6 linked regions of the Oryctolagus cuniculus genome follow. The protein of the gene in region 3 purifies or fractionates together with the protein of the main gene of each other region. This does not show direct contact. Links are inferred from orthologs where the notes say so. Each region holds a gene or a part of one and is shown on either strand. Other genes may lie near its edges. The genes, in order: DYRK2, COPS7A, DCAF1, CEP78, CUL4B and COPS5.

Region 1 (5,439 bases), on a different chromosome or scaffold from region 3:
ACTGTTAAAATGGTGGGACCTACAAAGCTTTCTCTGACCATGAAATATTTTCGTATTAAAAATTATGTAAGAACAATAGCCCGAGCAGTTGAGTAGCCTCACTGTCTTCCAACAATAAATGGCAAACAGCAGAGTTTTCACTGTGTGAATATTTTTGGGCGTTTTCAAAACTTTTCCGAAGTCAACTTAGAAATGCTGTGTAGTGTTATGGGAATAGAACTGAGTCCAAAAAGACTGGAATTTTAGCTCCTCCTCAAACATACTGACAGTCTGTGTGGCCCTGAGTCAAATGTCTACTTTTTCTTCTTCAAAACACTACTATTTTTTAAATGTGAATAGTCATTCTTTAATTCCAATTTTTTAATAAAGGTGAATCTGGTAATGGGAGACTGCTTCAAACACTCCAACAGTATGAAAGTGATGCATATCAACACTTTGGAATTTTGAAAACAAATATATTAACATCTTCCAGGTAACACTAAAAGAAAAAAAATTGATAGAAATAAACATAGTTACACTTTGAGGACAAATGGGAATATTTTTAGGACAAAGAAATACACTATAATTAAGACATGCATGAAGATAGAAAATAAAGGGACATGGACTAAATAAATTTTGAAGTTCATAGTCTGCATAATTACATATTGACCTGCCCACTACATCATTTATAAGAGAAGGCATGGGCAAGCTCCAGCGACCAGGTCATTTTTCTCTCCTTAATGCCCCTGTCCCCCAGTCATTCCACAGCAACTCCTCCCAGGCCTAACTGCTCTGGAACTAAAAACTAAAAAACTTACAGAAACCTGAAAGACATAGGGGAATACGGATCTGCAAAGGCTCTTCACTTGTAATGAAGTTAATACAATCTCCTAGGATTACCAGTGTGGGACAGTATGTCAAAACCACACTCGGGAGGGTGTGGGGTTTATTGATAGGAATTAACTAGAGAATCCTGACCAAACCAGTTAACATGTCTGTTTCTTCCTCTGCAAATCAAAGGAGCAGAACGTGATAAACTCTATATTCCTTTAACTCTCCTGTTCTAGGAAATCTGCGATGTTACACAAATAAAATCCAAACTCAACGACCAACCACATTCACAGTTCTGAAAGCATGTACCTAATCAGCAGCAACATAATGTCTGAAACAGGCCAGTCCTCAGAAGCACATACACAGGGCGTCTTGGCTGCAGCAGTACTGGCTGCTCCTCCAGGGGAGACTCTGCCTTCCCTACATTCACTACACATTTCAATTGTAAAGAGGCTCTGATGGCACAAAGTGCACCCTGACAAAATTGGAATCCAGTTGTAAACTAAGTACTTTTTTTCCAGTTCACATCACGTCATGTGAGTATATCAACACACAGGGGGGAAAAAAAAAACCCTAGATGTTACATTTGCCAAATTGCCAGATGATTCCAAACCAAACAAACAAAAAACCCAAACCCCTAAAACCAATGGCAGATTCTAAAACATCAGTGTGATAAGAACATTTAACAAATACAGAATCATCCATCCTCCCAACAAGACTCTCCCTGACATCAACAATCCAACACTGATTAGGCAACTGCTGTGTTGTCAGAAGGGAGGTAAATAACAAAGCAGCTTCCTAGCTCTAACAGGTGCAAACTGCACCCTAGATTGCCTCTCTGATTCTCTGATAAACAGGTTTCCCCAGAACCCACCATCCCCAGAGCTGCTCCCCTTTGCTAGAACTCAACTTTTCACTTGGCAAACAAAATCGCACCCCTCATGCAGAACCATTTTAGGTGGTTCCGCTTGGAAGCTGCAAAACCTCTGAACCCTGAGATCACCTCCTGGGAGCTGGCAGTCTCCATCCGAGGGCTCTCGCTGGGAGCAAAGCGAAAGCACATGCTGGAGTCCAGGGCAGCTTGCCCACCATGGTGGCCGCTGGTCCCACGCCGGGCCAGGCTGGGCCGGCCCCTCCCTCCTGGGGCTCCGAGGGCACACAGCACCTGTCAGGTGCCCTGGTCTTCCCACCTCCGGAGCAAGGCTGGCCCCATAATGCCCAACTGCAGGATCCTGCCGGGGTGGCTGGTTTTGTTTTGACTGCTGCTGTGGCGCTTATTTTTGTTAATGTTAATTACAATTTCTGCTGTGCTCAAACCTGTAGCACTCATAAAACATGCTTACACACGCGGGGGGACAATTGGTGGGGCTCCCTGCTGGCTGCAGCCGGGCCTGGGAGGCTCTTGGGGGGATCGATTTTCCTAGCAGGACAGCCTGACTGTCCCCTAACACATATCTGTTTCTATAAATAGCCACGACCCACGGGAGGGTGTGTTGGGGGGGGGCAGGACAGATGTTTACCGGGTCAGGGCGTGGAGCTCTGAGAAGCAAGGACAGAAAAAATAAGGAAGGGAGAAGGAGAGCGACAATGAGGAAGGCAAGCTTGGGGGTGGGCGAGCTCTGCGGGGGGAAGTGTGGGGGCCCACGCCACGAATCTTCCTTTTGTAGCTGCAGTTTGGGGCTCGCCCAAGTCACCGGGGCCGCACGCACTTCGACCTTCCCTCGGAGGCGTCCGAGCCCCGGAAGCCCGGGCGCTTGTGCCCCGAGGGAACCCTCCAGGCCGCCCCCCACCCGTGGCCGCCCGCGGGCGGGGTCTCACCGTGTGGGCCGTGGCGGCCGCGTTGCTGGCCCGGAGAGGCGGCAGGGCGATGGGGGAGGGCGGGCCGGTCCCCACTCCGCTCCGGGGGGCCCCCGCGCCGAGCCCGGGGGAAGCCTGAAGCTGACGAACGGCGCTGTCCCCTCCTCGGCCTGGGAGCCACGCACGGGAGGAGACAAAAGAGGGTCAGGGGCGGAAAAAAGTCATCCGAACCCCGACCTCCCCCACCGCCCCTCCGGGCAGAACACCCCTCCTTCCAGTGGCAGACACCCGCCGGGGCCCCGGCTCCCCAGCGCGCCCCCACGGGCGGGGCGCCACAGCGGCAAAGTTAAGTCGGGCACCGGCGCGCGAGTTCGCGAGCCGGGCCGGGGATTCGCGGCCCGCGCTGCGGACGGCCGGGGCCGAGGAGGGCGCAGCGGCCTCTCCGAGCTCACAGCGCGGGTGGGGGACGGCCCCGGCGCACCCCGCCCGGGCCCCCAGCGCGCCGCCGCCCGGCGGGGGCCGAGGGCTCCCGCGAAGGAGCCTGCGGGCCGCGTGCAACAATGCGCGGAGCCGGGCGAGGCGAGGCGAGGGCGCGCCGGCCGCCAGCCCGCTGCCCGCTCCCCACCGCACACTTCGCTCCAGGTCCCGCGGCGGTGGCCGCACGAGCTCCGGGGCTGGCCTGGGGCTGACGGGGGCGGCGCGGGGGGCCCAGCCCTCCTTACCGGTCGGGTAGGCGGCGGGAGCGGCGGCCGAAGGTTTCCTGGTTAACATGGCCGCTGGAGAGGAAAATGCATCTCAGGGCTGCCGTCTCCGCCGCCGCCGGTCCCGCTGCTACTTCTCGCGGCGGCCGCCGCCTCCCGGTCGCCCCTCGGGCGGGTCCCCGGCGCCGCCTGGCCGCCTCGCGTCAGCTACAGCCAGACACACACAGCCGGCTGCATCCCCTCGGCCCGGGCCCGCAGCCGGGAGCCCCCCGCTCTCCTCCTCGCCGCCGCCGCCGTCCTCCTCTTCCTCGGGCGGCCGCAGCACCCCCCGGCCCGTGCTCATGCCTCGCCCTCCCCTGCGCGCCGCGGGCCTCCCCGATTCCCTCACATAGGGGCGCGGGGAGCGGGCAGCGCCGCGCCGACCGCCTAGCTCCAGAGCCTCCTCCTGGCTCGCGCGCGCGCGCGCCCCCGCGCACTCTCGCCCAGGCGCCCGCGCCCGCGCGCGCCCCGGGAGGGCAGCCCCGCCCCCGCCGCAGGCCCCGCCCCCGGCTGCCCCCGGCCCAGTCCCGCACCCTGCCGTGCTCCCCACCCCCACGCGGCCGCCCGGGCGCCTGCACAGCCGGGATCGGCTCCGGGCACAGCTCGGCCACGTCCGCCTCCCGCCATCGGCCCCTTGCCCCTCGCTCCCGCACCGACGCCTGGCCCCCTCCCCGGCTGCCCTAGCCCTTGCCGGGCCCCGCCTTTGCCCTGAGCGCAGCCTACCCCCGCATCCTCCCCCACCCACCGACCTCGCTGCAGAGACCCCTCCCCTTCCCCGCGCGCCCCCAAACACGGCCGCATTTTCTGCTTGGCGGACCTAATGGCTGCTCGCGAACAATACTGTCTCCCCCGCAGCGCGCCCGGGGACTTAACGACCCGCGTCCCCCGGTTCATCACGTGGACAACTTAGTTGTGCGCGGGTCACCGCGGATGGCCGAGCCCCGCGGCGGGGCCGCCTTGAGCCCGGGAACCCCCAGCTCGGGCAAAGGGGGCTGCCCTCCCGCCGCCACCTCCACCTCCACCACACTCTCCCTCCCCGCTTTACTGACACCGAGTGACCGCTCTCCAGTCGCTAGGACAAGGGGGAGGCAGAGAGGCGCGCGTGGACGGCAGCCGGGGAAGCAGTTGGCTGTGGGTTGCTAGGCAAAAATCAACACCAGAGACGCCTCCCATTTCCTTGCAACTCCAGCCTTCCCTCTGCGGCCGCTGGGAGAGACACACCTTCCTTTCAGCGCCTTGCCTCTCTGCTCGCATCCTCGCAGACCAAGCTCTCCCGCCGGCTTCCAAGGCACGTGCAGAATGTGTCTGCCCTTGCATTGTGCCGTCTGCGGCCTCCCTTTCCCTGGTGGACTGAAAACGTGCTCGCCCGCCTCGGACCCGTGCCCCCGTCCTGGGTGGCGCGCTGTGCGCCTTTGTCCAAAGGTCACCAAGTTTTGCCACTTCACCGGTCTGGGAGGAGGTTGGGGCAGAACCGGACAAATCCCGGATGAGGGCAGAAAGTCGCCCTGAACTTCCTTCCTGAGAGATGCCAGGTGTCTGAGGTTCTGCCGGGGACATGGGTGCTTTCTGCTCTGCCCAGCCCCATCTCCGGCCCTGGCTGGACCTAGCAGGCAAAGCCCAGGGGGAGGGAGCCACCTCCTGCGGAGTGCCTCGCCTCTCCTGTTGGCAATTGTCACAGCAACCTCCCACAGAGCTCACCCTCAGCTTCACATAGATACCAGGATCCGAGAGTGACAAGGTAACAGCTTGACCCTCTCCTACAGAGGTCTTGCTTCAGGGTTGGAGCCCTGGCAGAGGGAATCCGGATTTGGCCGATAATACGTCCCCCTCCTCCAAAAAAAAAAAAAAAAAAAAAAAATCCTCTTGAAGCTTCCTCCTAATTAAGGTGAGCCACAGTTAAATAGTCAATGCAGTACTGTACCTTTAGAAGAATCATGACTTGAACTGGCCTACCAAAAAAGTTCCCCATGCATGTTCTCAGAGAATAACACTTTCAAATCCAACTGGGAGAAACATTTTAAGAGTACAAAATTAGCCAAAAGTAAAGTGCTACCAAGTAGCAGAGATCAAGCCTGAACTCATCTCGGACTGC
Region 2 (4,840 bases), on a different chromosome or scaffold from region 3:
TGCTTATGGGACGTACGCTGACTACTTAGGTAACCAGGGGGGCTGGAGCTGTGCAGTGATGGGAGTGGAAGAAGGGCGGTTTTTGGAGGCACTTTAAGAGAAAATTCCTGGGATACCCCACATAGGTCCCCTGGGTGCACAGTTTCAGGGTCAAGACCTGAATCAGATTGAAAAACTCAGAACAAAACAAAAAACAAGGGTGAAGGAAGTGTAGGCTTCCCACAAAACTGCAGTCGATTTCCTCCACTTTGTCCTCTTCCCCAGCTGAAGCCCGGAACCTGCCCCCACTCACAGAGGCTCAGAAGAATAAGCTTCGACACCTCTCCGTGGTCACGCTGGCTGCTAAAGTCAAGGTGAGTGGCAGTCTCCCAGGTCTAGGCATCCTTCTCTGTGTCTGGGAGGTGACACTAGGATGTCCCAGGACCAGACTTGCCTCGTCCTGCCCCCCTCAGGGTCTGTCTGGAGTCCATCACCGAGCCATTTAGGCTGAGCCTTCTCTTAGTTTTCTCTTTGTAAGTTTTCAGTCACCTTAAGTTCTAAGTAAATATCTTTTGTATGCTGCTGAAAGTGGCAACGAGGGTGCCATGCATGTGTTGTACAATTACTTCCGTTCCCACGGCCTCAGCTGGAATAGGCTCTCTTCTGACAAGGTGCCAGGCTTCTGTTTGGTGGAGTAAGACATGCATATAACGCAGAAGGATCTCTGTATTCCTGCTGGCCTCAGTTTCCTGCCACACCCCCCAAGCTGAGGTTTCCCAGTTGTTATTTGACTGTCTTGTTACTGTCCTGACTTGATTTAAACCGAGCTCTGCATTGTGCAATGCCTGTGCAGAGGTCAGACTTCTCCCCTGCCGCATATTCCCACCGTGCCAGGGTGATCTTGATGCAGGGCTGCCTGAGCTCCTGAGCTGTGGCCAGAGGAATGACCCCAGACAGGTGTCGCTTGCTTGCTCGCTCTGGTCTGGAGAAATAGGGTGGTAAGGGAGCTTAAGTCTTGTGTTTTATTTAAGATTGGCCTTCTCATGCTGTTTTCTTGAGGTGGGAATACATTTACTTATTCTGCCCTAGAGGAAGTGGTATAGGAACAGAGCGGAGGGCAGATGAGCCAGGGCGGAGGGAAGATGATTTCTGGAAACCCCTTCCTGCTGCGGCTCCTCACAAATCCTGGCCTCCCGGGCCCAGTGCATCCCATACGCAGTGTTGCTGGAGGCGCTGGCCCTGCGGAACGTGCGGCAGCTGGAGGACCTGGTGATCGAGGCCGTGTACGCGGATGTGCTCCGCGGCTCCCTGGACCAGCGCAATCAGCGGCTGGAGGTGGACTACAGCATCGGGCGAGACATCCAGCGCCAGGACCTCAGCGCCATCGCCCGAACCCTGCAGGAGTGGTGAGAGCCGAGGGCGGCACTGTCCCTCCCCTCCTCACCCCAAGAAAGGGAGAGGTACTTCAGGGCAGGAGAGAGCAGGGGCTGGGCTGGGCTGCGACCCAGGAGGCTGAAGCAAAGTGAGCCATCCCTCCAAAGGCATCTGAGGCAGGGATGGAGGCGGCCCAGGGAGGCAGGAGGCAGTATCCTTGGTAAAGTGCATGGGGAGGGAGCGGGGATGCTACCCACGTCAGTCACCTGTCTAGGCTGGATTCAACTCATTGGTTTGTGACCGCCGTTGGCCACAGGCCTCTGCTTTGCTCCTGTCTAACCTCACTGTCCGTCCTCATTCATCCCCCACCCCTTTGGTTTTCCGCTTCTCCTCCGACTTGCCCAGCACTTGCGGCACTTCCCTGCCACTCTCCTGTCCCACCTGAGGGTCTGTCTCACTGGGGGGACTGCTGTAGGTGGTTGCCAAGGCCCAGCTCGGACAGGGGTTAGATGCTGGGAGCTACGGGTCTTTTGGAGTCTGTCTGTCATGAGTGTGCTCGCAGCCCTCTGTGCTGACGCGTCTCCTCGTCCCACCCTGCAGGTGTGTGGGCTGTGAGGTTGTGCTGTCAGGCATTGAGGAGCAAGTGAGCCGGGCCAACCAGCACAAGGAGCAGCAGCTGGGCCTGAAGCAGCAGATTGAGAGTGAGGTGAGCAGGGCTCACCCACACTGCCCCAGCCTGGGCCACTTGTCCTGTGCAGAGGCGTTTGGACCATGGCTGTAGCAGACAGGTCAGATGGGCAGAGTCTATCATGTTCCGGAAACTTCTTTGCTCCCCCCTATGGCTTTCATCCTGGTAGGTTGCCAACCTTAAGAAAACCATTAAAGTTACCACTGCGGCAGCGGCTGCAGCCACATCTCAGGACCCTGAGCAACACCTGACTGAGCTGAGAGAACCTGCCGCAGGCACCAACCAGCGCCAGCCCAGCAAGAAGGCCTCAAAGGGCAAAGGGTGAGCCGGGCAGCGGAGCTCTTGCCCTGGGGCACTCCACTCAGCTCGGGGCCCCAGCTGCTCTTACATCCTCTCCTTTCATCCTTTGCATGGGGATAGGGAGTTGGGGGAGGCTTTGGGGGTAGGGAGTCCCTGCACCCATTCTCTTTCTCTTCCCCTTGCCAGGCTCCGAGGGAGTGCCAAGATTTGGTCCAAGTCGAACTGAAGGGACTGTCATTTCTTCCTTGGGACTGTGGGTCCCAGCTGCCTGCCTGCCCTTAGGAGTTCTCAGAGAGCTTTCCTGTGCCCCTGGCCAGCTGATAATCCTCAGTTCATGACCTTTCACCCCCACCCCCACCCCCAAGCAGATCACACCTTCTCTGGGGAGGAGGCAAGTACAGGTCACATTTTTATTGGTACTTTTGTTTTATGTGACTTTCTAATGTGTTGCATTGCCCCCTTCCCCATCGTGCTCTGTTTCTTTAAGAGCTCGACATCTATCCTGTTCCTTACATCTGTCGCCAGGTAAGGGGCTAGCTCTGACGGGGCTTGCTCTGTCTCCAGCATAACCCACAGGTGTTCCTTCTCCTGCCATGTTGCTGCATGCCTGTCCCCCCCATCACTCCCTACCCCCACCTATGGGTGGCATCTCAAGGGCCATGGGCCCTTACCTTTATGCCCACCCTGAGAGTTTGGGAGCCGGCTTGCCATTCTGAATGACTGGACACTTTCATCCTAGAATTCTCTCACACTACGGTTGTCTCCTCTCCTCCTTCTTCCCCTTGGATCCTGGGAGTGCTGCAGCTTCAGTAACCCCAGAGCCCAAGGAGGGCAGCTGTTATTAGGATGCTGAGAGATGGTTCTGTGGGCCCTGACCATCTTGGGAAGCCTGGTGGCAGTCCTGCAAGGCTTTATGTCCCCTGTTGTGACTTTGGTGGGGAAGGGAGGGCATATAGATTGTATTTAAAAAGGTGTATATGCATATATCTATATATAACATGACACAGAAATAAATCTATGAGAAGTCTATCTACACACATGTCCTGCACTGGGTATCTTCTGTGTTTGATATTTGTGGATGGGAAGAAGACTCATTCCCAGTCTACTCTAAAAAAGGGCTGGAAAATGATGAGAACCAGATTCTAAATCCCGAGTCCTGGTGCCCTGTGGCTTTGGACAGACTGCTTCATACATGAGCGCTCCTTCCTGAGCACCCACGTGTGCCGGTCATGCTCCCTGCCTCCTGCATCATAAGAGAATCCTCAGGGGAAGATTGATGACGAACTTGGATTTCACATCACAGTCACAGCCATCGTATCTGGCAGGAGCACGCAGTTGGGCTCCTGCCCTTCTTCCAAGTTAGGACTTCGCAGGAAGTCTGCTAGCCTGGCCCAGAGTGCTGCCGTGAACGCCTCGGAACCGGGAGGCTGTGGCGGAGGCGGCAGGGAGCCCTCTCTGCAGAGCTGGTGCTGGTTGTCTAGGTGGAGGCTGAAGAGAGACCACTCCACACCGGCCCTGCAGCTGTCAGTCGTGGAGCCAGCCAGTAGGAGTGGGGTCTTGAGGTTTTGATTAAAAGTAGACTGGGTGAGCTTAGTGGGTTTTTTCTTGTGTTTTATGTTTATTGTCACCTACTTGACAAGCAGAGCTAGAGAGGGAGCTTGATCTCCATTTGTTAGTCTGCTCCCCAGATGCCCTCAATAGCCATGACAGCGCCACGACAAAGCCAGGAGCCCAGAACTCCATCCAGGTCTCCCACAGGGGTGCTAGGGACCCACGTACTGGGCCATCGTCGGCTGCCTCTCAGGTGCCTCAACAGGAGGCTGTTTTGGAAGCACAGAGTAGCCAGGACTGGATTCAAGCACTCTGATTATGGGATGTGAGCATCCCGTGCAGCCGTTCAATACAACTCCCACCCCAGACTTCCTGTCCTGTGAGGGGAATGAAGACCTAACGGGACCTGTGCAGTGAGCCTCATTTCAGCACACTTGGCTTCTCAACTTTGCCCTAGACAAGCTGTTTTGAATCGGGTTTGAACCTGTTTTGCATTGGTTCTCAGCGTCTGCCTCTGAAATCAACCCCGTCTTCCTCTCCCACTCAAGTGTAGGAATTGTGAGTTCCTGGTACTTTCAACCTGCGCCTATCGTCCCCTTTTCCTGTGAGCTGCCCCCAGCTGAAGGCCCCGTAACTCTCTAGACCCCTGGTTCCAGACTCCAGTGCATGGCTCTGAAGGCCTCACTAGAGGCTGGCCTCTGACTGTTTGGCTTTATACCCAGAGAGGGAGAGGAGTCGTTCTCATTGCCAGGGCCATGCAAATGCAATTTGATTTACAAAGAACAAGCTCTTGGCTATCAAGAATGGAGGAGAGTCAGCAGGTTATTTGGAAAGTAGTGAAGGCACAGTTTTTGACCAGGAAATTTGGTTCAAGATTTAGGGATTCGAGGGCTGGCATTGTAGCATGGCACTTTAAGCCTCTGCTGGCAAAACCAGCATCCCATATCT
Region 3 (4,880 bases):
TTAGCAGGTAAGAAGAGGCCCTCTCCCATCCTGGGAATTGGAATTATTTAAATTATTTAAATCAGAGTATTGGGGTGATGTCTGCATAGAGTGATTAGTCCAGTCAGCCATTTCCTGGTCTGAAATGCCATTCCTTGTCACATCAGTACATAAGCAGTGTGTGTCACCTTTTGTTTACCAGAGTCCTTATGTCATTAGTGGCAATACTTGAATAATGTGTTACCACTGGAGAGCCCATGCTCCCTAACCAGGATCTTAGCTCGTTTTGTGCTGGTCCAAAATGCCTTCTGATGTGAATTTTTTAAAATACTAATTTTCTTTTTATTTGAAAAGCAGACAGAAACAGATCCATCTATTGGTTTAGTCCTCAAATGCCTGCAACAGCGGGGGCTGGGCCAGACCGAAGTCAGGAGCCAGGAGCTCAATCTTGATCTCACTTGTTGGGGCAGCGATCTGTAGAAAGAAGTTGAATTGGAATCAAAGTCAGGACTTCAGCCAGGCATTCTGATACGGAATGTGAGCATCCTGAACAGCATGTTACCAGCTGCATCAGATGCCTCCTTGAACATTGTGATTCCTTAAAAGTCTCATGGAAAGGGATCACAGTTTTAAACGTGGGATTTTTTTTTTTTTTTAAGATTTATTTATTTATTTGAAAGAGTTACAGAGAGGCAGAGGTAGTGAGAGTTCTTCTATCCATTGGTTCACTTCTCAAATGGCCCCAGTTGGAGCTGGGCTGATCTAGAGCCAGGAGCTTCTTCCAGGTCTCTCATGCAGGTGCAGAGGCCCAAGGAGTTGGGCCATCTTCTGCTTTCCCAGGCCGCAGCAGAGAGCTGGATTGGCAATGGAGCAGCTGGGACTTGAACCAGCATCTATATGGGATGCTGGCACTGGAGGCGGTGACTTTATCCACTGTGCTGGCCCCTAAATGTGGGAATTTTTGTTATTTAAATTTGTAAGTGGAGGTCCTTTTCTCTCATTTAAAATTGAAAATGAACCAGTGAAGGTTAGTGTGATATTTTAAAGAACTTATTTCACACCTATTCAAACCTAAGTCCTTCTAGCAAGTTTTCTTTTTGAGTCCCTGCACATTCTATGTCTCTGATTCTCTTTTGTTTTGCTTAGATTCCGTCCTATTTCAGTGTTCCGGGAAGCCAATGAAGATGAGAGTGGCTTCACCTGCTGTGCGTTCTCAGCACGGGAGAGGTTCCTGATGCTTGGCACCTGCACAGGGCAGCTGAAGCTCTATAATGTGTTTAGTGGACAGGAGGAGGCCAGTTACAACTGTCACAACTCGGCTATCACACACCTTGAACCTTCTAGGGTGAGGGTCCCTTCCTCCTGGATGCTCTCGTTTCTAAGATGGGTTGGTGAACTCCTCTTTTATTGGAGTTTCTTGTGAGGAATCCTTACCTCTAAAGTCTAGGTGAAATCGACTGGACTCCAAGGGAAACTGAGGAGTGTGCCGTATCAAGAGAACCGGTTATCTTTGATGTCTTTCCAAGTTTTCTTCCTCTTTTCTTTGGAGCCATTATATTTTTGTTACGAGCTCAGAAGGATTTAATGTGCTGTTAAATTTATTTTCTAGTACACTGCAGGTACATGTATTTAAATCTTAGTGACTTCTGATTATTTCTTGGCTCCTGAAAGTTGTTCTTTTTCTCTTTAATCCAGTAATGCTTTTATGTAAATATTTTAAAAATACTAATGGTAGATAGCAACATCTACATGTATATAAACCCACGTTTACCCTCCTTGGGCCTCCTTCTTTCAGGACGGGTCCTTGCTGCTGACATCTGCTACTTGGAGCCAGCCTTTGTCTGCACTTTGGGGAATGAAATCAGTATTTGATATGAAGTATGTATCTGCTTTTGTAGTCTGGTGTTCCTGTGTTTTGTTTATATAATTTATACTCCATCTATTTGTTGGACTAGAGGCCTTTTGGGAAGTAGGATGCTGTAAGTTATTGTTAACTTCTTCATTTTAGGCTTATGTTTTAATAAAATTTTATCTTTTAATTTCTAGATGCTCCTGGAAAGTATATGCTTGCCCATTTGGGCAGCAGATCCTTCACTTAACTCCAAATGGCCATCTTTATACTTTGCCAAGTTCACATGGGCCATTTACATTCTAATCTTTCGTATTTCAAAGGCACATGTGCCCTATGGTCATTTTTCCAACCAAGGAATCCCTGTCAGGGTATGCTTAGACACACTGCTGGAGGGAATGTTTTTAATCTCACTGTACAGGCGTTTCCTCTGTGGGAGCCAAGGCATTAAGAGGCTGCAGTGTGTGCAGGAGTCTGTCTTGAACATCTTGACCTCTCAGTGCTTTTGTCCGTAGGCATTCCTTCACAGAAGACCACTATGTTGAGTTCAGTAAGCACTCTCAGGATCGAGTCATAGGCACGAAGGGAGACATTGCCCACGTAAGTGCTGGAGAAACCTCTGCTTTCACGCTCACTTTGCTCATTTGTTAATTCAGAAATATTCTGGACTGAATGTGAGGACTTAGTGGGTATCTAGAAATTATAGTGATAGTCCTTCCAGTTAAACTCTAGAAGTGTATTAAAGTAGTTTTAAGTTATATAGGAAAAATGAAATAATTGACTCTGAACTTAATCTTGCAGCTTGAGGAAGATGCTGTTAGCACAGCAGATATCTTTGAGTTCTTACCAAGTTTTAGGTGAGATAAAATCCCTGCATTTTTGGGCTCATGTTAGATGGTTGGTTGCTGCAGAGGAAAAGAAAGAAGCAGTGTAAGAGGGAAGAAATGCTTGATAGTGTGGTCAGGGACTGTTTTGTTAGCTTCACTGATTGGATACTGTTTAAGCAGAGCCCTTGAAGGACTTGTGACTGTCGTGCAGGTGTCATTCTAAGGCAGAGGGAGTAGCCAGGAAACAGCCTTGTTTGGGAGCTGTGAGGCAGAAGAGGGTAAGAGCTAAGGTCAGTGATGGGTACATATCCCGTAGCATCGTGGAGGAGGTAGTTGGGACCTTTAGCTTTTCTTCTGAGGAAGGTGAAGACAACTGGAGGGTGGCAGAAGATATATGACTGGATATGAAAACCTAAAGCATGATTTGTTTCTGTGAGAGAAGCAAAAGTAGACCTTCCAGGCAGGAGGATATTGTATCATGAATAATGGGGCATGATCCAGACAGACATGCAGAGGCCTTGAAAAATGATGGGCCGTAGTCCTGAGGTTTTGGATATGTGAAGTTTGAGATTCTATTAGACATTAACTGGGAATTGAATGTACAGATGGGGAGTTGAGAAGTCTGGGATGGGGGTTAAAATTAGGAGAGTAGTGCTTATATCAATATTTATAGCTGTGAACCTGGATGAGATTAAGGGGGCTAGAGGAGAGGTGTAGGGACAGCACTTGCATGTGCCAGTGTTTAGAAGTTGCCAAATAAGGAGGATCTTAGGGAGGAGACCAGAGAGAGTGACCAGAAAGTCAAAAGGAAACCCCAGGAAAAAGACCTAAAAGCCGAGGGAAGACTGCGTTTGGAGGAATGATTGATCAGTTGAGTCAGAAATTGCTGATGAGTTGAATATAAGAATGAGAACTGAGTGGGAGCGTTGAACAACATAGAGGTTATTATATAGTTACAACTATATTTAGTTATACATAATAGTTCTGGGGCCTGGGCTGTGGTACGGTGGGTTCGGCTGCTTCTTGGGAGGCCAGCATCCCATATCAGAGTAGCAGTTCAACTCCTAGCTGCTCTGCTTCCCATTTAGCTTCCTACTAATATGCCTGGGAAGGCAGCAGTGATGGCCCAAATATTGGGACCCCTGTCACTCATTAGACCAGGGTGGAGTTCTGGCTTCAGCTTGGCCCAGACCTGGCTGTTGTGGCCATTGGGGCAGTAAACCAACGGATAGAAGATCATTCTCTCCCCCTTTGTCTCTCTTGCTCTGCCTTTCAAATAAGTACATAAATCTTTAAAATATAGGCTGTACACTGATCAGACAAAATCTTGGTTAGAGTGGTTTCATAGGAGGAGTGAAATAGACACACTGAGTATAGTTAGTTCCTTTAAATTATTTTGTTGGGATACAAAGCAGAGAAGTAGAGTAATAAATAGCTTGAGGGGAGAATTTAGCATGGTAAAGGGAGGATTTCCCTCAACTTTTCATTTGAAAATGTTACAACATACTAAAATCATATGGAAAGAATGGTACATGTGTTCACTACCTAGATTCATCACTTTAATATTTTTCCATACTTTCTCTATGAATGTGTTTTTCTCAATTTGAAAGTGAGTTACAAGCATCATTACAGAACATGCATCATCTTTTTTTTTAATATTTTTATTTATTTGAAAGGCAGAGTTACAGAGAGGCAAAGACAGAGAGAGAAGCTTTCCATCTGCTGGTTCATTCCCCAAATGGCTGCAACAGCTGGAGCTGGACCGATCCAAAGCCAAGAGCTAGGAGCTTCTTCCAGGTCACCCATGCGTGTGCAGGGGCCCAAGCACTTGGGCTTTCTTCCACTGCTTTCCCAGGCCATATCAGAGACCTGGATCAGAAGTGGAGCAGCCGGGATTTGAACTGGTGCCCATATGGGTTGCCAGCACTGTAGGCGGCGGTCTTACCCGCTATGCCACAGCGCCGGTCCCTGAACATGTATCTTCTAACAATAAAACTATTTAATTACATAGTCACATATCCAAATTAAGAAAATTAGAGTAGTTCTCAAATATCATCTAATATCCAGTCCATGCCCAGTTTTTCCAGGTGTTCTTGATGTGTTTGATTTCATATATGTTTTTTTTTTTTTTCCTGAACTAGGATCCAGCCAAGATTCACATATTGCATTTGGTTATTATGTTTAATGTTTTAAAAGCCAAGAACCCTTTCTCCAGTTCTCATGGC
Region 4 (5,549 bases), on a different chromosome or scaffold from region 3:
CTGGGGTGCCTGTGTTTGAATCCTGACTCTGCTCCTCATTCCAATTTCCTGTTAATGCACACCCTTGGCAGCAGCAAGTGATGGCTCAAATAGCTGGGCCCCTATCACCCACGTGGAAGACTCTGATTGAGTTACTGGCTCCTGGCCTCAGCCTGGCCCAGAGCTGGCCATCACATGTGTTTGGGGAGAGGGCAAGGTTGAGAAGAAATCAGCAGATTGGAGATCTCTCTCCCTCTCTCTCAATGCATTTCTTCCTCAAATACAAGTGAATTTTTAAAAATGTTAAAGATCGGGACCAGCGCTGTGACGTAACAGGTAAAGCCACCCCTGTGGTGCCAGCATCCCATATGGGTGCTGGTTCCAGTCCCAGCTGCTCCACTTCTGATCCAACTCTCTGCTATGGCCTGGGAAAGCAGTGGAAGATGACCCAAGCACTTGGGCCCCTGCACTCATGTGGAAGACCCAGAGGAAGCTCCTGGCTCCTGACTTCAGATTGGTTCAGCTCCAGCTGTTACAGCCATTTGGGGAGTGAACCAGAGGATGTAAGATTTCTGTCTCTGCTTCTCTCTAACTCTGCCTTTCAAATAAATTAATTAATCAAAAAAATGTTAAAGAACACAGAAAATCAAATTAAGTTTATTTAAAAAAAGTTTAAAATATCTTTCAGGCCACATCTTCTGAATCCTCCTTTTGGGTAACCTATATTCTCCCATGCCTTCACACACCTGTCCCCCACAAAGCCCAAATCCATGTTGGGCCCAGCCTGCCTGGTAGACACATTTAGATGTCCTACAGGCCCTTCTTAAAACATTAAAGATAACCAAGATCCTCTCCCTACCCCTTATCCCCTCCTGCCATGCAGGGTCCAGTGGAAGGAAGTTGCGTACACTGTCACCCAAGCCTGCTGCCCTCCCTCTTCTCACTGCTTGCCGGGCCCCACTCATTCTCCAGCAGGTGAAATCCAGCCCTTCTGCCCTGTGCCTTCCTTTGGGCCACTAGCTTACCCTCTTTGCAACTTTAACCTGCCTTCTCTACGGAGGCCAGAGTGAGCTCCTAAGTCACAAGTCCACCTTGTCCTTCTGTGCTTCCCCACCATCGTCAGGATCAACTGAACTCCTTGATTGATGGGACAAGCAAGACTCACACGTTGCCAGTCTCGGCTCTTCCCCAAACCCTAAATTCCAATCTTGTACCCCAGCCTGCGTATTCTCCGCTATTTTTGAGAGGTCTGCCCAGACTACTCCTTCCTGTCCACCTGGCTACCTTCTACACAGTCTTCCAAAGGACAGCACCTCCTCTGGGAGGCCTTCCCTGAACCTCCCTCTCAGTTCTGTGTTCTAAGCCACAGACTCCCTTTTCTCCCACAGCACTGATGCACAATGCTAGGGGTAGGGAACTTTTTTCTGCCAAGAGCCAGTGGATATTTATTCACGGTCTTACAAAATTATCACCTTAAAATTAGCCTGCTATAGATTTACAGGATTTTAAGGCCCTCCCAGGAGGACCAGACCAAATGACCTTGTAGGCCTTATGCAAACGGGACATTCCCCACCCCTGTTCTACCTGCTTCCAGCCCTGGTAGAAGGGACGATGCTTTAGGACAGGGTACTCCAGCAGTACTCGGTGCAGACTGAGCTCATTCTACTGCCAGGACACTTTACACACATGATCTGCTTTAACCCTAAGAACTCACTCAGAAGGTTGTCTTAATGCCATTTTACAAGTGTGGGAACCACAGTTTACAAAATAACTTGCCTTGGGGCACGTAGAAGGGTTTGCCTTTAGAATTCAAACTCTAGGCTGCTTCTAACCCTCATATGGTTTCCACTATAGGATGCTATTCCTTAAAAATCTTTAACAAAAATCTGTCATTATTAAAAAGAGATGAAGAATCAGGTGGGAACACACAAGGGAACTTGAAAAGCTGGTGGAAAATTCAGAGTACCTTTTCATTCCATTTTCCCACAGACTTGGCAAAGCCCCCTTGCACATGTCAGGTGAGTCAGATTTCGTCCCACTCTATATTGTTCCTGAATGACCATGAAAGTTCCAAACATTGATTATGCAGTTACAGATCAATTTAACCATGGTGAAGTTGCAAATACAGAATCTGCAAATAATGAAGATGTTCAAAAAAATCCCTGGTTGGCAGGAGATAGAATGTTTTTTTGTTTCACTGTATATTTTTTCTTTTTTTTTTTTTCATTTTCAACTTGTCTGCTTTTCTGCATTAAGCCTGTTATTAAAGGAGGAGAGACAATTCTACACTTTCCTTGTCGAAAAGGGAAGAGGAACAGCCTAGCCAGAGATGAGGACTGCAGGGAGCAGAGCCAGTAGTCCTCACTGGTTGATAACAAAGGCAGCCACAAAGAGTCTACACACTCCAAAATTCCACAATTCTCCCAGCCAACTGCCTGCAGGGTGCATCGGAGCTAACGTCTCAAGTCCACACCAAACATCCCCTCCCGATAGCTTAGGCTGGATTCACACGCTTTCACCCTCCCCAGATATCTCCAACAACATCTCAACGTATGCTTAGACGCTGACTAATGAGAAGTTGTGATCCTCTTCCAGTTCAATGCAGCAAATATGACTTGAGCTCTATCAGGTACAAAATGCCATCCTAAGTGCTAGAATGAGTAACATTTTGTCACATGTCATGATTTATTTCATATGTTTTGCTAATAACCAAAGGGTCTGGATGCCTAATTATATAGTCTTACATTCGTAAATGCTTTGCATGTGTACAGCACTTTACAAAATGCTTATATAAACGTTTTAAACATGAAGAAAAAGGCTGGGATGTATTGACACCCTAATCGCTTAATTCTACATCAAGCCAATAAAAGCCATTCAATAAAATAGGCAACGTCAGTCGGACATTCAATGCCATCCCAAACTCAGCTAAGCGCTTCACACCCATTAACACGGGGAATCCTTGCAATCACCATGTAACACGGGTTCTGTGATTAAGGCCATGCCACGGATGAGAACGCCGAGAGCGAGAGACCTAAAATGAATCGCCGAGTCACCCGGGCGCACACCCAGTCTGCTGCACACCTTACCCGGGCAATGGGCACCTGCACTAGGGCCCAGGCTCCACCGTGTATCCAAAAAAAAAAAAAAAAAAAAAAAGGAAACCCGACGTCGCAGCACTGGAAGCGGGAATTACAAACCTGTTTCCCCAAGCCACGGCTGGAAGAAGCTCTTGATGGAAATCAAGGGCAAATCTTTATTGATCTTGAGGGTGCTCAGGAGCGGCGCCCAGTCCACCATGCGGAGGCGGTCAGCGTTGAAGTCCAGCACGCCCTCCCGGAGGCAGGAGCGCACGGCGGGCAGCGGCACCGAGTCCTGCAGCGCGCACAGGTACTCGTAGTGCGAGAAGAAATCCGCCGCGCTGTCGCGCCGCAGCTTCACCGAGTCAATCATGGCCAGACCGCGGCCACCGGGGACGCCAGCCGAGCACGCTACACCCACACCCACCGAGAAGCCTCGCTCGCCGCCCGGCTCCCCGGCTCCCCACGGCCCCGAGGCTCTGCAACAAGACACAGGCTCAGCGCCCCAGGCTAGGGCAACCCCTCGACGCCGTACTCCCGCGTCGCCTCCCGCCCCGCGGCCCCGGCCGTTGGCTCCCTCCTCATCCCTCGGTTACGCGGGGCTTCGGTTCAAGCCCTCTGGCGGGCACCAGAGAGGGCGGTGCGCGCAGACGTCAGCACGCTCGCTGTGCGTCGGCACGCAGACCACGCCTTTCGGAGGGCGGAGCCTTGGGCAGGGAGGCTGGCGGAGCCCCCGGGGTGGTGGCTCTTGGGATATGGGGTTTGCTTAACAAAGGGTTGCCTAATGGATTGATTTCTGGGCGGGCGTTTGGCCCAACGGTTCAGCCACTCGTTAAGATGCCCGCATCCGATATTGTAGTGCGAGATTCTGCTCCTGGTTTAGCTGCCGATTCCAGCGTCCTGCAGATGCACAGCCTCCGAGTTCTTGGCTCCCTGACGCACTCGTGGGGGACCCGGATGGAGCTCCCCGCTCTTGGCCCAGCCCCGACTGCTGCGGGCATCTGGGTAGTGAGCCAGCAGGTGGGCGCTCAACTCTTTCTCTCTGCCTCTCAAATAAAATTTTTAAAGTGAACTGTGTATGTGGCAACGCCATTTTAAGGACTCCGTCTAAACTTGTGACGAATGTGCGCGGTGCCCAGGACCGAGATGACACTCCATAAGGGATGGCTGAAGGACTGATGGGACCTCTGAGTGTTTCCTAGCTATTACTGTCTACGAATAATTCCTAATCTCTATAGTTCCTACTTACACGGTTGTTGGCAAATTATTTCATGAATCAGGGATTATATTGGGTTTCTATGAATCTGTTTTGTCTTGATGATGATAATGATGGCTAATTCCCTGAGGACTTGCACTCTCTATGTCTTAGACGTTATTTAAGCACGGTGTAAGTATGTTTAAGAAGTCATTTTCCTGACATGTTCACAAGAGATACACTATTTTATGTCTGCTCTACAAAACAGGAAACAGGCACAGAGCAGTGATGTTAATACAGCTCAGTTAGTGAAGAACCTGATAATTGACCTCAGAGCTTGTATTTGGATCCAGTCTCTAAAACAATGATAGCCCTCTGCTCTGTGGTTCTGTGTATAGCTTTCTGTCCCACCACTGCATTCAGGATACCCAACTTACTGCCAAGTCTCTCCCCCCCATCTCCCTCTCTCTCCCTCTCTCCCTCTCCCCTCTCTCCCTCTCTCCTCTCCCCCCCCCCCCTCTCTCTCCCTCCTGAAATTCTCTAGGTGTGGTCAGCAATGACTTTCCATGCAGCAGTCTGGAATAATAATGTAGTGGTACTGGAATACCCACGAATCAGCTATGTCACCTTATCATTCCTGTTGAAGATCTCAGACCAGTGTAACCATCATACCACTCACAACTACATCCTAACTGACACTGAGGAAACCATTTTTTTGAATTTGTAGTCATCATTGCAATATCTCAGTTGCATATGTAAATAAACAGCATAGGACACTGTACTAGGTTTTCTGATACTTAATTTACTGTTGCTTTTGCTAGGTTCATCCATGTTGACATATAAAGCTATAGTTCATTTCTTTTCCCTGTTGTATAGGATTCCCTTCTAGGAACTTACAATTTATCTATTTTTTCCAATTTTCAGTATGATCTCTTTGTTGTACATCCAGCATCACTTAATGTGATTGTCCTTTACTCTTGGGCTTCTCTTGCTCACCCATTTCTAAATACTGTGGCAACTGACAAGTGCAGCTGCTCAGGGAAGCCTTTATCATACCAATTAATCTTTTAACATGTTCATTTAAAATTGACTTTTCTTAAGCTTACTTATTGTCAGTGTGGCAAGATTCCTTTCAAGGCTTGTCTAATAATTTCTTCTCTACTTCAATGTAATTATGACTTCTTAGTAGCATCAGTTCCCCTTTCAGCATCTAGGGGGTTCACCCACGTGCTTCCATGAACACTGGCAGTGAGAGTGGACCCTGCACAGGATCTCTGGGATCCTGACAATGTAGGCTC
Region 5 (3,610 bases), on a different chromosome or scaffold from region 3:
CATTAATGGTGTATAAGAACCCCCCTCCCTTTTTTTTAATAGTCATAGGGACCTCTTCCCTTGTTCCAAAGAGGATTCATGAAGACCAGGTACTTTCTTAAGAGTTTTCTGCACATCATACTAAATAACATGCAAAGAGTTCAACAGCATTCTTCTTAAAGTAAGTATTACTCTTAAAAATGGGCATGTTAACCACTGAAAAAAATGTTCACTCAACTATTTCCATTACACCGCTTCGTTTGGTCATTGGTAATAAAAAACAGAGTCAGATAATATAGGATCAACAGGTTAGTTTATCACTGGCTACTGCATAGGACCCCAAGTGTGCCAAGGTCAACATCTATGCAATATAGTTGTACTGGTTTGGATTTTCTTTATCTCTTTCCATGTAGTCCCGGTCAATTAAGGATTCTATTCTCTTCTTAAGATCAGCAGGCTGTTAAGAGAAGGCAAATTTTCAATGCAAAGTTTATGATCATTGGCTCAAACTCACTTACTAACATGCCCCATCAAAAAAAGAAAATTTTGGTTTATTGACTTAATATATGTAATCTTACCTGTTCATATTATTTAAATCTCTATTTTAGAGAAAAATATAATAAAAATCAGGTTAAGAAGTATTTTATACATATACTACAATGCTACACTTTTGCAACATTTTCTATTTTATTTTAAAGAAATCTTCCCAGAACCAGCTACTCCCTGCACAGTTAAATACAAAAGACTAAACATAACAGAATTTCACATGAGGAATACATTATAGCTTGAGAAATCAGAAATTTAGTTTTGCTGAGATAGTTTGAGAGGACAATCCACTTTTACTTTGGGCAAAAGCTAATTCTGCAAGTTAAGTTTAATTTTTATAAATTAACTTAAAATATGGGGGCCAGTGTTATGGTATGAGTTAAGCCACCATCAGCATCATATATGAGCACCAGTTTGAGGCAGCTGCAGCCATTTGGGGAGCGAATCAATGGATGGAAGATCTCTGAATCTCTCTGTAACTCTTTCAAATAAATAAAAATAAATCTTGACAGTTTGCCTTCATGACTGTATTCTTAGCTCTCAGATGACAAAATTCAACTATATGCTTGAGTGTATGTCTAGACTATAAAAAGTACAGGCATCCTTTGGTATCTGCAGGCATTGCTTCTAGGATCCTCCCTTGCCCTCATGCCAAAATCCAAGGATGCTCAAGCCCCTTATACAAAATGGTGTAATATATGCATATAACCCATGTACATCCTTCCATATACTTTAGAATCAACTCTAAATTACTTATTATATCTATTACAGTATAAATCCTAAGTAAATAACTGCTATTTTGCATTTTTTAGGGAATAATGACAAGAAATAAAGTCTGTACGTGTTCAGTACAGCCCCACTGCTTTCAAATATTTTTTTATTTATAGTTGGTTGAATATGCACATGTGAAATCCACAGATATGGAGGGGTCAACTGTATCATCTTGCCTACTAAATTTTTCATAATATGTAAAATGAAAGGGAAAGGAATCTGATAGGGCAGTCAAAACTTTAGTCATAATTTTTATCCAGTAATCTTAAAGTTCAATAAAATGATTTTCTCTTCATTATAATAAAAGACCTAGAATACCAGAACAGTCTTTTTAGGAAAGCAATCCCTTAACTTCCCTAGCATCAGTGATCTCTATGGCTAGAGGTGCAGTAATTGTTAGGCAGAGCATGAGGGTGACAGAGCTGTAATGAGGTGACAGTATCAGGCTTGGAAGAGAGAAAAAAAACCTCTTAATTAAAATAGCTACTGAGGGCTGATTATATGCTAGGTCCAGTTCTGAATTTTTCATATTCAGGATCTCATGAAAACCTCATAATTATATAAAGTAAGTACTACTATTAGCAACATTTTACAAAAGAGGAAACAAGCTCAGGTGAAGTGATATATCAAAGTCCAAAGTTTATAGAAATCCTAATAGCCAGGAGTCTATTAAAACTCTTATCAAGAGTTTATCAACACAAGGGTTTGGAAATATTCTGGAACTTACACAATATTCCAATACAATATCACCCTATATGTCTTCATTACTGGGCAGTTACCTTGGAATATGTCCATTAACCAACCAATTTCAGTTGACCAGAACTATCATTAAAATTTTCAAAACGATACCAGTCTGTACACAGTTCAGACACTTAATGTAACCTAACCAACAGATTTGACTCTATCTAAAATAATGACATCTGGCAAATATCAAGGTATTTCAAGGAGAAAAGAAATAAGAAAGAAGTTCAAATGAAAATAGTGAATGAAAAAAGTTTAAACAACTCATTTAGCAGTTAAACTTACAAGTTTGAGAGTTTTACTAAATTGTTGTCCCCTTTTTTCACAGTTGCCCCTATGCCAACAATTTTTTTCCTGAATCATATGCATCAGCATGGGAAATACTTTTGTTTCACCAAATGCTCTTGAGGCTTTCATCTATGCTTACAGGATTTGTGCCTGAAAATTTAATGTATCCTTTTATAAGAAGCTCAATATGAAAACACAGAATACCTACCTTTACTGGGAATTTCAATTGGTTGTACACTTCTGAAACAAGCAAATTGTGACTAAGTGTCTTTCTCATCTTCATAATTCGAACAATTGCAGCATCAATTTGATATTGTCTGTCTTGAAATACTCTTTCTGTAGTACTTGCTTGTTCCTCAACCTAACAAGAGGGTTTTAAATTTAAGAATTATACCTGAAGTGAAACATGATTACTTATACAAATTTGTACATTTTAGTGACATACCACTCACTGCTTTAAATATACTGAATTATCTAAATGGGACCTTACAGATGATGACAGAAAAAACCCTGCAAACATAGCTCCTTTCTAATTATATTGCCCTGTATCAATGAAGTAATGCCAACATTACTTAGCAGAAAATACTATCTTTGAACTACTTTTCTGGAAGTAAGGATGTTTGAGACAGAATTTACCATTTTCTTTGACTCTCTTCTAAATATGTCAGTTACAAGGGGTTGTTGACCAGATTTCTGTATAACAGTATCTCATCTATAAACTGACTGACTTCTGTCTCAAATCATGGTATTAAGTAGCTAAGTAAACTGGTTGGCATCAAGTTCTTTGACAATTAACTTTTATTTTGTAATATATAAACCAGAAATGCATGCCATTAATGCTTACATTCCTTTAAGACTAACAGAGATTTAAGTGTTTAGCAGTTTATCACACTTGATGCAAAATTAAAAATGACAACCTTTAGTAACTGAACCAAAAGTTTAGATTTTGTTGCAGCAGTTTCTTTCTAGTACAGCTTAATTTTTTTCATTTAAATTCAATCTAGGTCTCCCACATGGGTGGCAGGGACCTAACTCCCTGAGCCATCACCTGCTGCCTTCCACAGTGTGCATTAATAGGACACTGGAATCAGGAGCCAGGACCCAAACCCAGACACTCCCATATGGACTGTAGGTGTTCCAAGAAATGTTAACCACTGCACCAAATGCCAACTCCATAGCATAAATGTCTTAAAAAGTAAGGTTATGATAATCCTTTAAGGGAGTATCATTCCTCTGATGCCTATGTAAATGTAACAGGAACTTTTTTGAAGATACTTATCCTTGT
Region 6 (5,401 bases), on a different chromosome or scaffold from region 3:
CACTAGTACAACGCACAGTGTTTTACACTTTGCTTTTTCATTCAATAAACTATTCTGGATCATGCTCCAGATAAGTAAATATATATAGGTAGCTATCTTTTATTTTTTAACAGCTGCCTGGCAGTCCTCTAATGACTGTACCATAATTTATTTAACTGGTTTTATACTCAGAAACACTTAGCTTGTTCCCAAACTTCTCATTTTAAGCACAAATCTGATAATGAGTGTGAACCTTGGGAAATTAAAAAGCCCATGGTCTTACAAGGCTTATGATCCCATATATTTTACACACATATCCAATTTAAAATAGAAAATTTAACCTTGAGAGGATAGCCTTAACTTCAGAATCTCAAAAGTTACCTTGAGACTCTAACACAGTTTAATAAACAAGATTTTTTTTTGTTACCACAGTTTAATAAACAAGATTTTTACCTGTTTGGCGTTTTCTATGTATGCAGCCATGTACTCATATGCTGCAGCTTGAGCATTTACTCGGGTTTCAGTGCCCTCTACAGGCAAAGCAAAACTGTCCATAATGATCATGGTTTCACCGTCCACCTTTCCTAGCATCAAGCCCATCACCTCCAAGTTGCCTCCTGATCTGGCATGCATCACCATTTTCAGTAGAGCCAATGCTGAGATTTTGCAGTACTTAAAGTAATGATGACTACAAAATAAAATCACAATGTAATTATATTTCTTATTTGAAATAAAATATCCAAAGACTTTTTTTTTTAAAATAAGTTACTGAGAGAATTTAAATTGATATAAGGGCTGTGTAGAATGTGGGAAGTAGTAGTAAAGGACAGATGACCTGCATGGGTATGGAAATAACAAACATGTCATACTCCTGCAAAATATTCCCCCCTGGGGAAAGGAAGGGTCTGAAACAGTCCTCTCTCTCTTTTAACATGCTATTCAAATGTGGAAGTAGCAATGAGTTCAAGAGACTTTTCCTCTGTTGATTTGCAATGATCAAATATCTGATTCTAATACTGGATGGATGGCTGTGTTTAACTATTCTTAGGCCTAACCTTTTGGTCTAATGGTTAAAAGAATGTGGGCTCTGACATCTATCTGCCTATGTTTGACTCTTGCACTGCCATTCCTTAGCTGTGACATTAGGACAACCTCTTAATGTCTGCGTGTCTCACATTACATTGCTTAGGGTAAGCGGGACTAGTTCAGAGTCATTAGGATGAAATAAAATGAATGAAATAATAAAGTGCCTAGCTTTAGTGTCTGATCCAAAGTAAAACCTTAATAATGCTATCTGTTTTTAGCATTATTAATTTCTGTTACAGTATTCTCAGTACTCTGAAACAACAATATTTTGAAAGATGTGGCTTTCCTCTGTAATATCAGCCTCAAAATTAAAAAGTGTCTCTAATATCCTTAGCTGTCCCATGATCACTGTTCTTGAATTTGTCAGTGGTGGCTGTGAGTCAACTTTTAAGTAAAACTATATTTTGGTCTGACTGATGCAGCCCAAGACAGCTAGGAGGGATATAATTAGAACTACTGTGAGACAGTGTAACAAAGTGATGGCTTCCAAATATCTAACAGAGGAGGTCAACCTAAAATGTACAGCTGCTATAGAAGTCGACAACCAGGCAACCTAACCAGCCTGTACGCTGTACAGAGTGGTTAGTTGGTGTTTCTGAGCTAAATGTTTGCCCAGAGAAAAGCACAGAAACTTAATTCCCAACCTTTGCCAGATTTCACAAGCTGAAAAACACAGAGGCTTGGTGTTGGAAGTTAAGATACAAATTAAAATTGTGTTCTAACGGGAAAAGAAAAAAGATAACTGTTATTGTGCTCCTATTACATTGCCTCAATGTGATCATGAGGTATTTGCTTGTTTCCTTACTTGAAAAAACGAATGAAAGTACAGTACTGGGTTGTCATGATGATTAAAATGACAAATGCAGATCCCTAACTCAGTGTTTGGCCCATGTTGAGTTATCAGTAAACACTGCTGCACCTAACTGACAGTTAAAGCTAGGCTTGTAAAAGACGGTGTGGCAGGAAGTATGTCCTGGGCTTGCCACAGCTCTCCTTTGTATCTATTAAACAGTTTTCTTTTACTCTCTTTTTACTCTTTCCCCAACAAAAGTCTTCTTTTGGTAAAGGATAAATGTTATGGATTAATAATCCTTGACTTGTCATCACTCCCAGGGATGCATGAATTTTGCTAAGGGGTAAGAGCCTTAAGGTCTATTTTTTAATCTCAGACTTAGGTGACACTGGTGGAGTAATATTTTAGAAATTGGTTAGAGGCTGACTGTGCCTCTGAAATAATTACCAGCAATCAAAGAACTACTACAGATCTCTAAAAAGATGGCTCACAGCTATCTGCAAGACAGGTGAGCTGCTGACTCAATTTCTGAAAAGAGCTGCGGTTCCCGTCAGGGACCAGCTGAAGGCCCCAACAAGGTGTAGTCCACACAGGGTTCAAAGCAGATACTGGCAGATATAATAATCAGGATGTTGAAAAGTGATAACCTAAATCTCTGCTTGCTGTTCATCCCTTACATCCTCCAGAGGCAAAAGAGTTAACAGACAGAACGGGCAAAGCAGGCCGCAGCGGAGGAGCATACACTACACGTGCGGGGATGAAGGTAGATCAAATTCTGTTTCAGGTGCATAATCTCTCCTGGACCATGAAAAGCCAAGCCGTCCACCCACTCCAATTCCCACTCCCCCACCCTCGGGTCTCTCAAACTCTAACCACCCCGTCCCTCCCCTGCGAGTCTCCAGGGACCTCCTCACTCCTTAGTCCAGGGCTTCGCCGCCAGGATTTCTTGCTGCTGTTTTTTGTCGTATTTGTAGATTTCATCGATGCTCTGGGCTTCCTGCATGTTGTTGGCCAATTCCCAGGTTTTCTGGGCCATACCGCTCCCGGACGCCGCCATCGCCGAGGAATCAGAGAAGCTTTCGCTTCTACGGCCGAGACGCAACTTTACTTTTCTAGCTCCCTGGGTGTGGGTTTTGGACCCTTCCCACCACAGGTGCAAACTCTTCCTAGACTCTCGAGGCAGCCATGACACCTAGAACCGGAGGTGAAGTTGGTACGGACCATTCGGGGATGGAGGGGGCTGTTAGGAGAAGCGACGATAAATCGGTAGTTAGTGTAACAGCTGTGGCAAGGGGAATATTAATGTGGGTTAAATGAGAACATATCGTCTTGGAAAACTGTATCTATGAAATAGGGCAAACACAATCATTTGCCATGGGAATGGTATAGCCTTTCACAACGGAAGAAGGGCACGTTAACGTTATGCCAGAAACTGCCGTGGCCTCTTAGTTAGTACTGCGCAGGCGCATTTTCCGCCATATTAAATGTGGGCGGAGCTGCAAGTTGGGCAGAGGAAAGTGTTTTCGTGTGGGTGTAGCTGTCTTAGATGGAAAGTTTCTTGAAAGACTAGGAAAAAAATAAAAAGGATGTCTGGAGAAATTTAAATGTAAGTACTGGATTTTGGCTGCGAGGAAGATAAATATGGCATCCTGTTTTGCTTCCAAGTGACCCAGTACACATGCGTAGAACTGCGGGCTCGTGGATTTCAGGTGGGCGTTTTCTAGCGCTCGCGGGAGGCGGCAAAAGCGAGTGAATTGTTACGGTTTTATCCTGTGACGTAGACGTTTCATGTCCCTACATTTATTATGAGCTGTTAGTGATGCAAATGTCCAATACTCAGTTCTCATGAGTTAAGTCTGCAGCGCTTAATAGCCTGGACGGAGTTAATCTCAGCAACCTTTTTGTTGCCTCCCGTTGATACTATGTTTGTTTCCTGTGTTTGGTTTACGTGTTTTTCCCTCTCTTCTCCGTCCGCACTAGATTCTGCGTTTAAAGACGCAGGGACCAGTTCTGTGCTCTTTGTTTTATTTCTAACACCTGGGTGTTAGGGATAAAGATCTTTTTGCTGGAAAAAAAGAAAACATCGCAGCTCTTCATAACCTAGTCCCTACGCACCTCTCCAGTTCCATCTCTCTTCAGTTCCCCCTTGAAACCTTTCTTTCCAGTAGTGCCATTCCCCACACTTGGACTTAGCACAACAGTACTCGGATGTGGTCAGCGTTGCTTGATTAACACGCGCTTCCCTGGCTTTTCTGCCTGCGAGCTCATATTAATCTGAAAGCACAGTTCTGAGGTCTGTCTTCACTCTCCAGGACCATTTCTTCCACGGTGTCTCCAAGTCTGTAAGACAGGTACTTCTTAACTCGCATTGTGTTGTAATTATGTACGAGTATCGGTTTACATGGAGGTTTCTTTTTTTCAGAGTTCAGGATACCTCGCACTGCCTTGAATCCTCCACTCCTAGTAGGGTGCGTGGCAGATCGATAGAACAAATAGAAAATTAGGGTTATGGAATCCACACCACAGTCTGCGGTTTTGACATTTTCAGCTTAAAATTTGCCTTTAAAGTCGACTTGCAAAGTAAGGATAAATTAGGGCCCCTAGGAGACATTAGCATTCTTAGTTTCTTGCGAAGTCAAAAAATCTTTTTCAGTGGGAGCATTTGATTACTTAGTATTGGTGTGAATTGAATTACACGTTGAAAATGGTATTGAAAGCCCGGGACTTGCGCTGACCAGACTCCTGGCTTAGGAGAGTGTGCCATTGGTATTCTTCTTACTGCCTCTACCTTCCCGGACCTCAGACTCAGGCTGTCCTCGGATCGACCGCGGAGTGGTGGGTTGGAAAGCAGGAATTAATTCAACCTGGGAAGCGACTCCCAAGGTTTAACAAAACCCTGGGCGCAGGTGGGTGGCTGTGCGTCCTCCGGGAAGGCAGGGGGCGCCCTCGGTCGCGCGGTCCTCTTAAGCGGCCGCTCCGGAGGCGGGGCTGCGCCTGGCCGTTGGCGAGAGGCGGGCAGAGGGCCCAGCTTGAGAGGCGGAGTCCCGGCCGGCTTGACTGTGACAGTGTTCGCGCGCCAGGAGGCCGCGGCCACCTCTGGGAACCGCTAAGAACCTTAGTAGGACGCTGTGCGTCTCCCAAGACGCGAGCCTGCTGGTCTGAGTCAGCTGACCGCAGGTGGGGAGCAGGCACGGCAGGGTGAGGCCTAGGGTGAGGTGGAGGTGAGGGTGTCCGGGCTGGATTCGCGGACCTGGGGCGAGGGGCTGGCGGCGACCCGGCCGGCAGCGGTGCCCGAGTTACAGGGGCCGGGCGGTGAGGGGGTTTTTGCCGGGCGAGGGGCTCGTCTCGGGCCTGCGGAGCGGGACGGGGGAGGCAGGTAGGTAGTCGAGCTGGCGGCGGTAAGGAGGTTACATGGGTTGGAGGTGAGGGTTCCCTGCCAGCGGGGTCTCGCGGCAGCCGGTCCGGGGCGGTGGCTGGGGTGCAGGGATGGCAGTTCCTTGTGGCTGGGGGCCTCGCAGTTCCCCAGCCCGGGGGCGGTGCGTT

The links.
Region 1: the proteins of DCAF1 (region 3) and DYRK2 purify together in Homo sapiens (affinity purification with western blotting; 5 studies listed by BioGRID and IntAct, with this or other methods). This does not show direct contact. The link is inferred for Oryctolagus cuniculus from reciprocal best matches to the Homo sapiens genes DCAF1 and DYRK2.
Region 2: the proteins of DCAF1 (region 3) and COPS7A purify together in Homo sapiens (affinity purification with mass spectrometry; 4 studies listed by BioGRID and IntAct, with this or other methods). This does not show direct contact. The link is inferred for Oryctolagus cuniculus from reciprocal best matches to the Homo sapiens genes DCAF1 and COPS7A.
Region 4: the proteins of DCAF1 (region 3) and CEP78 purify together in Homo sapiens (affinity purification with western blotting; 3 studies listed by BioGRID, with this or other methods). This does not show direct contact. The link is inferred for Oryctolagus cuniculus from reciprocal best matches to the Homo sapiens genes DCAF1 and CEP78.
Region 5: the proteins of DCAF1 (region 3) and CUL4B purify together in Homo sapiens (affinity purification with mass spectrometry; 9 studies listed by BioGRID and IntAct, with this or other methods). This does not show direct contact. The link is inferred for Oryctolagus cuniculus from reciprocal best matches to the Homo sapiens genes DCAF1 and CUL4B.
Region 6: the proteins of DCAF1 (region 3) and COPS5 purify together in Homo sapiens (affinity purification with mass spectrometry; 8 studies listed by BioGRID and IntAct, with this or other methods). This does not show direct contact. The link is inferred for Oryctolagus cuniculus from reciprocal best matches to the Homo sapiens genes DCAF1 and COPS5.

What each region holds. Positions count from the first base shown.
Region 1 is NC_091442.1:70,019,897-70,025,335, reverse strand, and holds the start of DYRK2 (dual specificity tyrosine-phosphorylation-regulated kinase 2), read right to left. Parts: upstream 3,783-5,439; 5' UTR 3,379-3,782; coding exon 3,330-3,378; intron 2,778-3,329; coding exon 2,629-2,777; intron 2,199-2,628; exon of another isoform or gene 1,874-2,198; coding exon of another isoform or gene 1,814-1,873; intron 1-1,813. UniProt on the Homo sapiens protein: Serine/threonine-protein kinase involved in the regulation of the mitotic cell cycle, cell proliferation, apoptosis, organization of the cytoskeleton and neurite outgrowth. Functions in part via its role in ubiquitin-dependent proteasomal protein degradation.
Region 2 is NC_091440.1:102,788,194-102,793,033, reverse strand, and holds the end of COPS7A (COP9 signalosome complex subunit 7a), read left to right. Parts: coding exon 1-29; intron 30-264; coding exon 265-353; intron 354-1,182; coding exon 1,183-1,385; intron 1,386-1,953; coding exon 1,954-2,059; intron 2,060-2,210; coding exon 2,211-2,362; intron 2,363-2,527; coding exon 2,528-2,567; 3' UTR 2,568-3,376; downstream 3,377-4,840.
Region 3 is NC_091441.1:98,128,949-98,133,828, forward strand, and holds part of DCAF1 (DDB1- and CUL4-associated factor 1), read left to right. Parts: coding exon 1-7; intron 8-1,125; coding exon 1,126-1,324; intron 1,325-1,774; coding exon 1,775-1,857; intron 1,858-2,343; coding exon 2,344-2,428; intron 2,429-4,880. UniProt on the Homo sapiens protein: Acts both as a substrate recognition component of E3 ubiquitin-protein ligase complexes and as an atypical serine/threonine-protein kinase, playing key roles in various processes such as cell cycle, telomerase regulation and histone modification.
Region 4 is NC_091432.1:152,039,730-152,045,278, forward strand, and holds the start of CEP78 (centrosomal protein of 78 kDa), read right to left. Parts: upstream 3,723-5,549; 5' UTR 3,430-3,722; coding exon 3,177-3,429; intron 1-3,176. UniProt on the Homo sapiens protein: Centriole wall protein that localizes to mature centrioles and regulates centriole and cilia biogenesis. Involved in centrosome duplication: required for efficient PLK4 centrosomal localization and PLK4-induced overduplication of centrioles.
Region 5 is NC_091453.1:98,256,156-98,259,765, forward strand, and holds part of CUL4B (cullin-4B), read right to left. Parts: intron 2,687-3,610; coding exon 2,534-2,686; intron 437-2,533; coding exon 341-436; 3' UTR 1-340.
Region 6 is NC_091437.1:92,681,013-92,686,413, forward strand, and holds the start of COPS5 (COP9 signalosome complex subunit 5), read right to left. Parts: upstream 3,281-5,401; 5' UTR 2,916-3,280; coding exon 2,773-2,915; exon of another isoform or gene 2,765-2,772; intron 668-2,764; coding exon 433-667; intron 1-432. UniProt on the Homo sapiens protein: Probable protease subunit of the COP9 signalosome complex (CSN), a complex involved in various cellular and developmental processes.